Regions from separate parts of the Mus musculus genome. Here region 1 is reported to be linked to region 2. The links are microRNA targets in miRTarBase. Many come from high-throughput screens and were not tested one by one. Region 2 holds a microRNA gene; the other region holds the end of a gene's coding sequence.
The links. The annotated mature microRNA mmu-miR-466c-5p reads UGAUGUGUGUGUGCAUGUACAUAU and lies in region 2 at 4,585-4,608, opposite strand. An mRNA with a match to its seed (bases 2 to 7 or 8) in the 3' UTR can be bound and repressed. Matches are read on the target gene's strand: a 7mer-m8 pairs with bases 2 to 8, a 7mer-A1 pairs with bases 2 to 7 and ends in A, and an 8mer does both.

Region 1 (7,344 bases), not on the chromosome of region 2:
ATTATCAGGTAGCTAACCCAAATTGCTCAGAAGCCACTGTCTGTGTGAGAAAGCCCCCACTAAGCTGCACCTCAAAGGGTGGGCTGGAATGTGGGACGTGAAGTAACGTTACTTCCCATTACTACAGCCTCCATGTACTCAGAGATCCAGAGGGAGCGGGCTGACATCGAGGGACTCATGGCCAGACCAGAGTACAGAGAGTGGAACTCAGAGCTCATCAAACCCAAGAAGCTGCTGAACCCTGTGAAGGCTTCTCGGAGCCATCAGGAGCTGCACCGTGAGCTGCTTATGAACCACAAAAGGTAGGGTGGCATCCAGCTGGCTGGCTTAGAAAAATGCTTCTTAGAGGGGCTGACCTAGCCATTGCCTGGAACCCCAACAGGGTCACCAGAAGAAACTGTGTGAACCTGAAAGCCCTACCCATTTGCTGTGTGCTTAGATGCCCTACTGTGTGCAGGGCACCATGCCCACACCTAAGATACAAAAGACGGAGACCCAGTTTCTGCCCTCCCCAGGGGAAAAGAAAGTTGCTGGAAGCTTTAAGTGAATGTGGGACCCCAGAGGGGCTACTGGGATAGGGGGACTATCTATATGACATCATGGAAGAGAGGATATCTAGAAGGCCTAAAGCAGGGGCAAGAGCCAACCCTGCTGAGAGATGGGTCGTGTTGGCAGAGAAAACTGGAGAGAGAGCACATAAATATTGTAGAGGGTTCAGGTAGTGATGGCTCTTTCTCAGCCACACCCTCTGTTGGGGGAGAGCATGGCAGTGAAACACAAGAGTCGGGGGTGGGGGGAATGGGCTATGACACATCTGTGATCAGCAATCACAGGATGTCAAGTGTAGGAGAGGGTGGCTGAGGGGCCCTTGAGAGGCTAGAGGCTAGAGGCCGAAGCTTATGGTACCTTCATGGCGCCCTCTGCCGGCTGGTTGTTGTATTGGAGCTGGACGTGATTTCCATTCTAAGTCATGCGACAGATACCGCTGGCACATGGAGCTGATTTTGGGTTTGTTTTCTACTAATATTATAATATTGTCATGTTCTCAGTTGTTTTTGCGATAATCATTCATTTCAGTATCAAAAGTACCACCACGATGGAAAACAGCTTCAGGCAAACTGAAATATTTGCAATATAAATAAATTCTATTGAAAATTACATATACAGTATGAAATATTCATATATTCGTGTACCTTAGTCTACCAGGAAAGGGTAAGCAAAATGAGTGGGATTCATATGCAAATGGGAAAATGTGAATGCTAGAAACACTTTAAAGTTCATTACATGTGACTGGTAATTAAGGAAACATGAAAACCAGGCATTGTTTTTTGTCTCCTAGACTTAAAAGAGTTGGCTTGTAAAATGGGGGTAAATATATATTTTTGTAAGGAAATTAAATCCCATGAGATTTTAAGAGAGCGAAGGCCAGCATTTCCGCCATCAGAAGCTCTAGTAAAATATCCAGCAACCATGTGATACCTGGTCTCTGTCTGCAGCCGGGTCTGAAATTCTCACTCACCTGTTGTACTGCACCTGCCCTGCTGTGTTGTGGGAGGGGGGCCTCTTTGCCTTTCTATATAGCACGGGGCAGTGAGATCGCCCCCTTCCGGTGTTTCCCAAACGCTCTAAGAGATAATACAGGGACTGTGTCCCAGGCTAGGAAAGAGTCTCCTCACTGTTCTCCTTACCCGCAGGGGCTTGGGTATGGACAGCAAGCCTGAGCTGCAGCGAGTTCTAGAGCACCGTCGCAGGAATCAGCTGATCAAAAAGAAGGAGGAGGAGCTAGAGGCCAAGCGGATGCAGTGCCCCTTCAAGCAGGAGCTGCTGAGGCGGCAGCAGAGACTGAACCAGGTGGGTGGGAAGCGTCCAGCTTCCGTCTGAGCCTCCTCCAAGAGGAAGGTCAGCATGGGACCTAGAATCTACCTCTGCCCTGCTGTGTTACTCTAGTCCAGTGGCATCACTTCTCTGACCCTCAGCTTTCCTGTAAGGTCTATATCCTGGAAGATAGATCTGCTCCCCGAAATGCCCTGAGAGCAGGTGGCATTTCTATTTCATAGGTGGGAGGGTCTGGGGCCAGAGGAAGATGTGATTTGAACCAGTAAACAGAGACATCTGGGTTCTTGTGTTTTGGGAAGGCTGGCTGGGGACATGGATAGTGACAGAGATGAGGTACATTAAGGGAGAGGAAAGCACTCTCCAGAATGGATATGGGCTACAAGATCAAAACCTGGGGCTGCCAGCAGCCTGACCCTTGAGAGGTCATTTGCACATCACCTCTCCCCATATTCGGAGATGGTGGGATTTCCTCTTGGGTACTGTTTTGATAATGTTTCCTGAAGTGAGGGTAGGGGGTTTTTTGTTCATGTTAATCTTTATGACCCTCTTTCAAGTGTATACTTGCCTGATACATACCCCAGCTTTGGGGTGGTTTGTAAAACCCAACCCAGGCTTTCCCCATTGACAGGACCCTTGGTCCAATACCATGGCTTTTGAGAATAGAAACTCTACCCCCACCTCCAGAACCAACCCTGCCAAATTCACTCCTTGTGTTTCTCCGCTTCAGCTGGAAAACCCACCACAGAGAGACGAGGACCACGCCCCTGAGTTCATCAAAGTCCGGGAAAACCTACGCAGAATCACCACACTGACCAGCGAGGAAAGAGCACTGTAGAGCTCCCTCCATCCAGCTCCTGCCACTTACTCTGGCCCAGCCCTCCTCCAGCCAGTCTGAACCTGAGGACCCTAGCCCACAATGCTGCCAGCAAGGCACACCTGAAAGGCCAGCTATTCCTGGGAAGCTGGAGACACACACACACACACACACACACACACACACACACACACACACACACAGAGGAAGGTCTCTGGACTTTTCTTTCTGAGCACCTAGCCTTCTTGCACCAGAGAGGAAGCCACTGCCAGGAAAGACCTCCAGAGGTGCCATCCCCGATCAGACTCACTGATATTTCCCTAGCAGAAGTGAGGAAGAGGGCCAAGTGTCCCTCCATTCTGCCTCAGTTGCCCAATAAGGCCTATTTCTTGGAGCAGCTCAGCTCCTAGTGTTGGGAACAGCTCAACTCTGGCTTAGCCTGAGGCCAAGGACACCTGTTTTAGAAATCACAGGGCAAGCAAAGAAGGCACCAGATGTTTGTAGCAAGGAAGGGCATGGGAGGCGACAGCAGGCTGTGGTCAGGTGGGAAGGGTCCCAAGCAAAGCAGCTTTCGGTCTTGCCAGCTTGCCTCAGAGTTTGGCTTTTATTGCTCCTCCCCACTGCCCTCCCTAAATTACTAACCACACCTCACCTCAGAGCTCTGGCTTCCAGCCTAGATCAGCACATTGCCAAGTTTACTGTATACACAAATCAGAGAATCTTGTGAACAGTCCCTGGAAGCTACATGTCTAACACACTCCCGGAGGTGGTCCTGGACGTGGGTTGGAACATATAGTTAGGCTGACGCACCCAAGAGTGGTATATTAAAAATAGCCAACTCTCTTGGCTCCCTGGCCTGAAGGTTCCCAGTGCCTCCTCTGAAGCCCCCAAATTCTTCATTCACTATCCATAGTGTTCCCACCACACACACACACACACAGAATTCCTTGGCCTGGTCAGGGGATTGTAACTGCCAATCTTTATTTCTTACTGGTATAAAAACACTATCATACAATTCTAGCCAAAAAGAAGGGGGAAAGAACCTTAGCTTTCTACAGCTTTTTGGAAAGCAACTATACAATGATTTCCTATGGAACAATATATATGCTATTTTGAAGACCCCACTGCCATGGTGATGGAATAAACTCTTAGGTCAATATTGCCAGCACTGTTACCTGAGACCCTGCCCCTCCTTCCCCCCAGTCTGGGTCTTCCCCACCCATTCTTCTTCCTCAGAAGCCCCTTCCTCCCTCTGTTACACCCGAATTACTTGAATCTTTTGCTCCTATGCCATTTTTGAAGATCTACAGAGTACGCCAGGCCGAAATTCTTTCACCTGAAGAATGAAATCCATAATTCACCTTCGCAGGTGGGAAGAGCACTTCCAGACAAGCAGAAGTTCTCACTCCCCAGAGCACAGATTTCCCTGCTGGGGCACCAGGGGCTCTGCCTCCTGGAAATGATGGTGGGATGGCCAGCAGGGTCTGACAGTGAATGGAGATTCTATCTCTTCCTTATGGATGTTACCTGCATAGATGTGTAACACACACACACATCGTGTGTGTGTGTGTATGTGTGTGTGTGTGTGTGTGTGTGTGTGTGTGTTCTAACTCTAAAGTTCTAAGGCAGTGCTTCTCAACTTTCCTAATGCAACCCTTTAACATAGTTTCTCATGTTGTGGTGACCCCCTCAACCATAAATTATTTTCATTGCTTTTTCATGACTAATTTTACTACTATTAAACACCATAATGTAAATATCTGATATGCAGGATATCTGATGTGTGGCCTCCCACCCCCATGAAGGGGTCACAACCCACAGGTTGAGAAACACTGGTAAATACAGTGAACCTGTCTTAAGTATCTGCTGGTGAGGTTTTATGCTGAAGATGTGTTTCCTAAATAAAGAAAGGGTTGGGGGTTGTCACCTTACAGGTACATGTGTTGTTCTGACATGTAATGAGGAGTAGGACAGGACGTCTGGGATAGAGTAGGACCACCCAAGGGACTTAGCAGTCCCCAGGGAAATGGCAAATCATGGAGAGACCTCAAGGCAGGTCATCCAGAGGAACCATAGTAGCTACCTTGATACTCTGTGACTCTGTTAGTCCCAATTCCGTCTCTCTCGCTGCTTCCCACCAGAGATTGTAGGCCTAGCCTCCTCTGCACATTTGGGTGAGCATGTGACCAGGTATGGCCAATGAAATTGAAGTGGAAGTCTATAGGAGCTACTAGAAAAGCCCATGCCTTTTCTGAGAGCCTTGCTTTGTTTCTTCCTTCTTGATTGAGGATGCAATGCCTGGACCATTAGCAACCATGTTTTACCTAAAGAAAAGGCCAAAAGATCCATAAACCCTATGATCATCTGACCAAGCAAGTGCCAACAGCTCTCCATCTCCAGAACCCTTGTAAATAAAAATAAATTCCTGTTTGGTAAAGCCATTGTAAGTCTGTTTCTTATCTTTCCCAACTGACACAAAGGGCCAGCCTTGCCTGCCTGTCCAGAAATCCCTGTAAGTGATGCTAAAATGTTGGATCCCTATTTTCCAACAGAAACCTGCTGGAACAGGTTCCTCACTTCGGGGCTTTAACCCTCTTCTGAACACCCTCTAATGTCATCTACCTGACTCCAGCCAGTGAACTGGCACTCATCACTGACTCAGGTACCAGGAAGCATGTCATGTGTTGCCGGGAAAGATGCTGCCTTTCCCTGGACCACTGCTGAGGTTTCATCCCCACTGCTGCCTTTGCCCACGTGCTTCCTTAACAGAGCTCCCAGACTGTTCGCTTACAGTTTTAAGTAGATCTTGCCATCCTTCAAAGAGCCTTCTGTTGGCTCACGGGGGAGTCCTCCAAGCAGTCCGGAAGGCTCTATGTGTCCAGTTCCCTCTTTACCCTGACTTCCACTCTTACAGTCTGACCAAGCCCTCTCAGTCAGTCAACAGGTTCTCCACAGCAGGAGCGGGGACTGAAAAGAAAGAGACAATTAGACAACACTGCAGCATGACCTCAGTCAATTCTGAGACCGAAGGCAGGTTTATTTTTTCCCAATCCGCATGTAGTTTTAATTACATGTTAGTAATTACAATAAACAGGAATCATCAAGGAACAAGCAAGGCAGTAAGCAAAGTCCCATGATCACTCCCATGATCACTGTTTCTAAGAGTTTATCAGGATGACCAAAATATCTGAGTCTACTTCCCCATCCAAGACCAAATTCAGATTCTTGCCTGAAGCCTAATTCTTTGTTCTACCCTAAAATTAGATTCCTGCCTGAGCTTCTTCCTGATCATGGCCCAAGGTCAGATTCCTGCCTGAAGCCCATTTCCTTGTCCTTAGCCAAGGTCAGATTCCTGTCAAGTGGCCCCAAAAGCTCCCCTCAGCAGCCAGCCTTGATGCACATATGTTGCTGACCAGGAACAGGCTTTCCTCAGAAGCCACCCAGCACACACCTCCATTCTCTTCAAGGTCTCACCACACACACACACACACACACACACACACACACACACACTCGTTCAATAAAAGGCCCCAGATAAGTTGTTGACATCTACATCCTACTAAAGGAGGTGAGCATGAGCCATCCCAACATGCACCAAAATGGCTCCTGCTGGTCGTTAGGAATCCCTGCAGGAATGAGTCCCAGGTGTACGCCCAAGCACACAGCCTCAGGACCACTATGAAAGCAGCCCAGCACAGAATCATAAACTTACTTAAAACATGAGATTTTTTTTTCTTGAGGGAGATTTATTTTCTTGTAATCTATGATTTCTCCATCGTAAACTGCAGATGATAACAACATCATGGCACAATGTCCAAAAGGTTGGACCTCTCAGACAACTTCAGAAAGGGCCATCCAGCGGTGTTTTCCTACATGCAGCAAGTCATAAAGCTTCCATAGGAAGGAGTGTTTTCTCCACACAACACCAAATGGCCTTGTCACAAGACACCAGCACCGAGGCTGTCCTGAGCCTGAATGAATAACTTCTTTTCTACCTGCTTTTATGGGCTTCTAGATATCCTCTATTGGCATCTCTAGAATTTACTGCCCCAGTACAGAGATCTGGGTTGCCCCAGGATTTACAGGTTACTGTATTTGTAAAACATCTAAAAACATCATGTTTGGTCATGCCTTCACACTTTGTGCATACTCACATTCATGTAAAGGCATTTTCTCTTTTTAGTCAGCCTTGTATTAACTCCAACCTCTCCTCCGCTCTCACTGAAATTCCAATCAGCTGGCCATGTGTTTGCTGTAGCCACAGGAATCCAGGGACTTTCAAATATGTGTGACTAAGGCCAGAAGCACAGATTCAGGTTACCCCCAAACCCTGTGTACCCCAGAGGAACTGATTCTTTTAAGCAGAAGGAAGTAGATTTACCTTAATGGGCCTAAGCAAAGCCCAGATAGTTCCACTTTCACACAGTGACTTAGATCCCAGGGACTGAGTGGCAAAGTTGATGTTTGTCTTTCTGCTGTTGTTGGGTTTATAGGAGATGAGACTTTTTCTCAATGGCTCTCAAGGCTGATAATCCCTGTTTCTCAACTTAAAGAATCAAAACCCTAAAATTATTTAAGAATCAAGCCTAAAGCTTTGGAACAAGGGCCTCCAAATATTTTTGGCACTTCTTGCCTTCAGTCAAGATAGAACAAAGGACATTTTTGGTCTTTGGCCAAGGATACAAGTCAAGAAA
Region 2 (7,344 bases):
TTACGCACACAGGCACATACATAGGGGCCATCACATTATTCCAGGATGATCTCTAACTGCTCATGAAGTTAAGCATGAAATTGAACTCCTGATCCTCCTGACACTGACAATTGTTTACACCTGGTGAGTGAGAATATTCACTGTCCCTCTACTTTATAATCAGCAAAATTCTAAGACATAAATCATTCAAATGGATCAATGAGTGTCATTCTTATGTGTGTGAGTGTGCATGCCTGTGTGTGTGAATACATTTGTATGTGTGTGTATTTATATGTATGATCATATACACACATGTACGTGCACACACAATTATATGCACTTGTGCATACCTAGGATCCATCACACAAATACAGGGTGATCTCTAACTCATTATGAAGTTAGCATGAATTTGAACTCCTGAGACTTTTAACTCTGGCAAGTGGTTTTCATCTGATAAGTGACATTATTCCCTATACCATGAATATACACTCAATGAAACTCTAAGCACGTATAAATCAAATGGATGACTGCCATGTGTGTTTGTGTGCACATGAATGTGTCCCTAGTTGTGTGGGTGTATATATATATATATATATATATATATATATATATATATATATATATATGCATGTTCATATACGCGCATGTACAGGCATACTTCCCTATACACATAAACACAAACACAGGGAAAATCACATGAATTCCGGGCTGATCTCTAACTCATCATAAAGTTAAACATGAATTTGAACTGCTCATCCTCATGATGCTGGCAAGAGTATTCACCTCCTAACTGAGTCATAGCACGGGCCATTCGTGGGAGTATGTTTGCATGTGAGTATATGCATATTCATATACAGAAGTGAATATGTACACAACTATACACACATGCACATTCTTGGTGGGCATCACATGAATCGCATGCTGAACTCTAACTCATCATGAAGTTAAACATGAATTTGAACTCCTCATCCTCCTGACACTGGCAAGAGTGCTCACCTCCTAACTGAGACATAGCTCTGGCCATTCCTATGAATGTGTGTGCATGTGTGTATATGCATATTCATATAGAGAAGTGAATATGCACACAACTATACACACATGTACATTTTGGTGGGCATAATATGAATCCCATGCTGATCATGAACTCATCATGAAATTCAGCACGAACTTGAACTCCTGATCCACCTGACTCTGTCAAGGGATTTCACCTACTGAGTGAGACCTCTCCCCATTCAGTACTGAAAAATCTTAAAACTCTAAGTCACATGTCATTCAAATGGATCGATGAGTTGCACTGATGTTTTTGTGTGTGTTTCTGTTTGTGTCTGTGTACATGTACATATTTGTGTAGATAGGTACATCCATATACTCAAATCCACACACAATAGAAACAGATACAGATAGGGATACATAGGGGACATCACATGAATCCCAGGCATATCTCTAAGTCATCATGAAGTAAAGCATGAATTAGAACTCCTGATCCACAATCTTTCACACCTGATGAGTAAAACCTTTCACTGTCCCACTACTTCATAATCTTGAAAACTTTGAGTCACATGTCATTCAAACGTATAAATGAATGCAATTTTTTCCTGTGTGTGTGTGCTTGCATAAACACGTGTGTTTATGTTATGTATATCATGTCAACACATACAATGCACATACAAGTAAGCACACATGCACATACATGGGTTGCATGACATTAATACCAAGATGATCTCCAAATGAAGTTAAGCTTGAATTTGCAATCCTTATCCTCCTGACTTTGTCAATCTTTTACACCTGGTGAGTGAGTCCATTCAATGTCCCCTATTGCATAATCTCTAAAACTCTACATCACTTATCATTCAAAGGGATTGGCGAATGCCATTCCTGTGTCTGTGTATGTGTGCTTGCGTTTATACGTGTGTGTGTATGTTATGTATATTCAAATATAGACATGAACATGCACACACAACTATACACACATGCACATACATGGAGGAATCACAGGCTGATCTCTCATGAGGATAAGTGTAAATTTGAACTCCTGATACTCTTAACTCTAGCAAGCATTTTCACTCTAAGTCACTTATCATTCAAATGGATTGACGAGTGCCATTCCCCTGTGTCTGTGTGCTCATATGTGTCTTATGTGTGCGTGTATGTATATGTATATCATATTCACATATGTACATGCACACACACATCAACACATATACACATACGTAGGGGCAATCACATGAATGCCAGGATGACCTCTAACTCATCATGCCTTTACTATGAACTTGCACTCCTGATCTTCCCGACTCTACCAAGGGTTTTCCCGTGGTTTGTGAGACCTCACCCTGGCCCAGTCATACATAACCTCCAAAGCAGTAGGTCACATATCATTCAAATGGATCCGTGAAGGCCATTTCCGCATGTCTGTGTGCATGTGTGTGTAGGTGTGTGTATGTATATGCATAAAATATACACGCATATACATGCAGGCACTTACGCACACGGGCACATACATAGGGGCCATCACATTATTCCAGGATGATCTCTAACTGCTCATGAAGTTAAGCATGAAATTGAACTCCTGATCCTCCTGACACTGCCAATTATTTACACCTGGTGAGTGAGACCTTCACTGTCCCTCTACTTTATAATCAGCAAAATTCTAAGACATATATCATTCAAATGGATCAATGAGTGTCATTCTTATGTGTGTGAGTGTGCACGCCTGTGTGTGTGAATACATTTGTATGTGTGTGTATTTATATGTATGATCATATACACACATGTACGTGCACACACAATTATATGCACTTGTGCATACCTAGGATCCATCACACAAATACAGGGTGATCTCTAACTCATTATGAAGTTAAGCATGAATTTGAACTCCTGAGACTCCTAACTCTGGCAAGTGGTTTTCATCTGATAAGTGAGATTATTCCCTATACCATGAATATACACTCAATGAAATTATAAGCACGTATAAATCAAATGGATGACTGCCATGTGTGTTTGTGTGCACATGTATGTGTCCCTAGTTGTGTGGGTGTGTATACATATATATATATATATATATATATGCATGTTCATATACGCGCATGTACAGGCATACTTCCCTATACACATAAACACAAACACAGGGAAAATCACATGAATTCCGGGCTGATCTCTAACTCATCATAAAGTTAAACATGAATTTGAACTACTCATCCTCATGATGCTGGCAAGAGTATTCACCTCCTAACTGTGTCATAGCTCAGGCCATTCGAGGGAGTATGTTTGCATGTGAGTATATGCATATTCATATACAGAAGTGAATATGTACACAACTATACACACATGCACATTCTGGTGGGCATCACATGAATCGCATACTGAACTCTAACTCATCATGAAGTTAAACATAAATTTGAATTCCTCATCCTCCTGACACTGGCAAGAGTACTCACCTCCTAACTGAGACATAGCTCTGGCCATTCCTATGAATGTGTGTGCATGTGTGTATATGCATATTCATATAGAGAAGTGAATATGCACACAACTATACACACATGCAAATTTTTGGTGGGCATAAGATGAATCCCATGCTGGTCATGAACTCATCATGAAATTCAGCACAAATTTGAACTCCTGATCAACCTGACTCTGTGAAGGGACTTCACCTGCTGAGTGAGACCTCTCCCCATTCAGTACTGAGGAATCTTAAAACTCTAAGTCACACGTCATTCAAATGGATCGATGAGTTGCACTGATGTTTGTGTGTGTGTTTCTGTTTGTGTCTGTGTACATGTATATATTTGTGTAGATAGGTACATCCATATACTCAAATCCACACACAATAGAAACAGATACAGATAGAGATACATAGGGGGCATCACATGAATCCCAGGCATATCTTAAAGTCATCATGAAGTAAAGCATGAATTTGAACTCCTGATCCACAATCTGTCACACCTGGTGAGTAAAACCATTCACTGTCCCAAACTGCATAATCTAAAACTTTAAGTCACATATCATTCAAACGTATAAATGAATGCAATTTTTTTCTCTGTGTCTGTACTTGCATATACACGTGTGTTTATATTTTGAATATCATGTCAACAGAGGCAATGCATATACAAGTAAACACACATGCACATACATGGGTGGCCTCATATGAATACCAGGATGACCTCTAACTGAATTAAGCATGAATTTGCAATCCTTATCCTCCTGACTTTGTCAATCTTTTACACCTGGTGGGTGAGGTCATTCAATGTCCCCTATTGCATAATCTCTAAAACTCTACATCACTTATCATTCTAAGGGATTGGCGAATGCCATTCCTGTGTCTGTGTATGTGTGCTTGCGTTTATACGTGTGTGTGTATGTTATGTATATTCAAATATAGACATGAACATGCACACACAACTATACACACATGCACATACATGGAGGAATCACAGGCTGATCTCTCATGAGGATAAGTGTAAATTTGAACTCCTGATACTCTTAACTCTAGCAAGCATTTTCACTCTAAGTCACTTATCACTCAAATGGATTGATGAGTGCCATTCCCCTGTGTCTGTGTGCTCATATGTGTCTTATGTGTGCGTGTATGTATATGTATATCATATTCACATATGTACATGCACACACACATCAACACATATACACATACATAGGGGCAATCACATGAATGCCAGGATGACCTCTAACTCATCATGCCTTTACCATGAACTTGCACTCCTGATCTTCCTGACTCTATCAAGGGTTTTCCCGTGGTTTGTGAGACCTCACCCTGGCCCAGTCATACATAACCTCCAAAGCAGTAGGTCACATATCATTCAAATGGATCCGTGAGGGACATTCCCGCATGTCTGTGTGCATGTGTGTGTTGGTGTGTGTATGTATATGCATAAAATATACACGCATATACATGCAGGCACTTACGCACACGGGCACATACAAAGGGGCCATCACATTATTCCAGGATGATCTCTAACTGCTCATGAAGTTAAGCATGAAATTGAACTCCTGATCCTCCTGACACTGCCAATTGTTTACACCTGGTGAGTGAGACCTTCACTATCCCTCTACTTTATAATCAGCAAAATTCTAAGACATATATCATTCAAATGGATCAATGAGTGTCATTCTTATGTGTGTGAGTGTGCATGCCTGTGTGTGTGAATACATTTTATATGTGTGTGTATTTATATGTATGATCATATACACACATGTACGTGCACACACAATTATATGCACTTTTGCATACCTAGGATCCATCACACAAATACAGGGTGATCTCTAACTCATTATGAAGTTAAGCATGAATTTGAACTCCTGAGACTCCTAACTCTGGCAAGTGGTTTTCATTTGATAAGTGAGATTTTTCCCTATACCATGAATATACACTCAATGAAACTCAAAGCACGCATAAATCAAATGGATGACTGCCATGTGTGTTTGTGTGCACATGTATGTGTCCCTAGTTGTGTGTGTGTGTGTGTATACATATATACATATATATACATATATATATATGCATGTTCATATACGCGCATGTACAGGCATACTTCCCTATACACATAAACACAAACACAGGGAAAATCACATGAATTCCGGGCTGATCTCTAACTCATCATAAAGTTAAACATGAATTTGAACTACTCATCCTCATGATGCTGGCAAGAGTATTCACCTCCTAACTGAGTCATAGCTCGGGCCATTCGTGGGAATATGTTTGCATGTGAGTATATGCATATTCATATACAGAAGTGAATATATACACAACTATACACACATGCACATTCTTGGTGGGCATCACATGAATCGCATACTGAACTCTAACTCATCATGAAGTTAAACATAAATTTGAATTCCTCATCCTCCTGACACTGGCAAGAGTACTCACCTCCTAACTGAGACATAGCTCTGGCCATTCCTATGAATGTGTGTGCATGTGTGTATATGCATATTCATATAGAGAAGTGAATATGCACACAACTATACACACATGCAAATTTTTGATGGGCATAAGATGAATCCCATGCTGGTCATGAACTCATCATGAAATTCAGCACAAATTTGAACTCCTGATCCACCTGACTCTGTCAAGGGATTTCACCTGCTGAGTGAGACCTCTCCCCATTCAGTACTGAGGAATCTTAAAACTCTAAGTCACACGTCATTCAAATGGATCGATGAGTTGCACTGATGTTTGTGTGTGTGTTTCTGTTTGTGTCTGTGTACATGTATATATTTGTGTAGATAGGTACATCCATATACTCAAATCCACACACAATAGAAACAGATACAGATAGGGATACATAGGGGCATCACATGAATCCCAGGCATATCTTAAAGTCATCATGAAGTAAAGCATGAATTTGAACTCCTGATCCACAATCTTTCACACCTGGTGAGTAAAACCATTCACTGTCCCAAACTGCATAATCTAAAACTTTAAGTCACATATCATTCAAACGTATAAATGAATGCAATTTTTTTCTCTGTGTCTGTACTTGCATATACACGTGTGTTTATATTTTGTATATCATGTCAACAGAGGCAATGCATATACAAGTAAACACACATGCACATACATGGGTGGCCTCACATGAATACCAGGATGATCTCTAACTGAATTAAGCATGAATTTGCAATCCTTATCCTCCTGACTTTGTCAATCTTTTACACCTGGTGGGTGAGACCATTCAATGTCCCCTATTGCATAATCGCTAAAACTCTACATCACTTATCATTCAAAGGGATTGGCGAATGCCATTCCTGTGTCTGTGTATGTGTGCTTGCGTTTATACGTGTGTGTGTATGTTATGTATATTCAAATATAGACATGAACATGCACACACAACTATACACACATGCACATACATGGAGGAATCACAGGCTGATCTCTCATGAGGATAAGTATGAATTTGAACTCCTGATACCCTTAACTCTAGCAAGCATTTTCACTCTAAGTCACTTATCACTCAAATGGATTGATGAGTGCCATTCCCATGTGTCTGTGTGCTCATATGTGTCTTATGTGTGCGTGTATGTATATGTATATCATATTCACATATGTACATGTACACACACATCAACACATACACACATACATAGGGGCAATCACATGAATGCCAGGATGACCTCTAACACATCATGCCTTTACCATGAACTTGCACTCCTGATCTTCCCGACTCTACCAAGGGTTTCCCGTGGTTTGTGAGACCTCACCCTGGCCCAGTCATACATAACCTCCAAAGCAGTAGGTCACATATCATTCAAATGGATCCGTGAGTGCCATTCCCGCATGTCTGTGTGCATGTGTGTGTAGGTGTGTGTATGTATATGCATAAAATATACACGCATATACATGCAGGCACTTACGCA

Region 1: miRTarBase lists Fam107a as a target of mmu-miR-466c-5p. Seed matches in the 3' UTR shown: 7mer-m8 at 4,201-4,207.

Annotation. Positions count from the first base shown.
Region 1 is chr14:8,294,017-8,301,360 of GRCm38, reverse strand. Fam107a (family with sequence similarity 107, member A) reads left to right here. Exons shown (of 4, transcript NM_183187.4): 2 at 128-302; 3 at 1,695-1,851; 4 at 2,564-5,091. The coding sequence starts at 133. The coding sequence ends at 2,671. Among named protein-coding and RNA genes, the nearest start is that of Fam107a, 12 kb to the left of the region's middle.
Region 2 is chr2:10,478,808-10,486,151 of GRCm38, reverse strand. It overlaps Mir466c-1 (microRNA 466c-1), which reads right to left and starts at 4,618; the gene lies at 4,535-4,618. The region is part of intron 10 of Sfmbt2 (Scm-like with four mbt domains 2); the gene reads right to left. It overlaps Mir467b (microRNA 467b), which reads right to left and starts at 4,904; the gene lies at 4,832-4,904. Mir669a-5 (microRNA 669a-5) reads right to left here and starts at 4,391; the gene lies at 4,305-4,391. It also overlaps Mir467a-2, Mir466e, Mir669a-4, Mir467a-3, Mir466c-2 and Mir669a-6, and 1 more gene.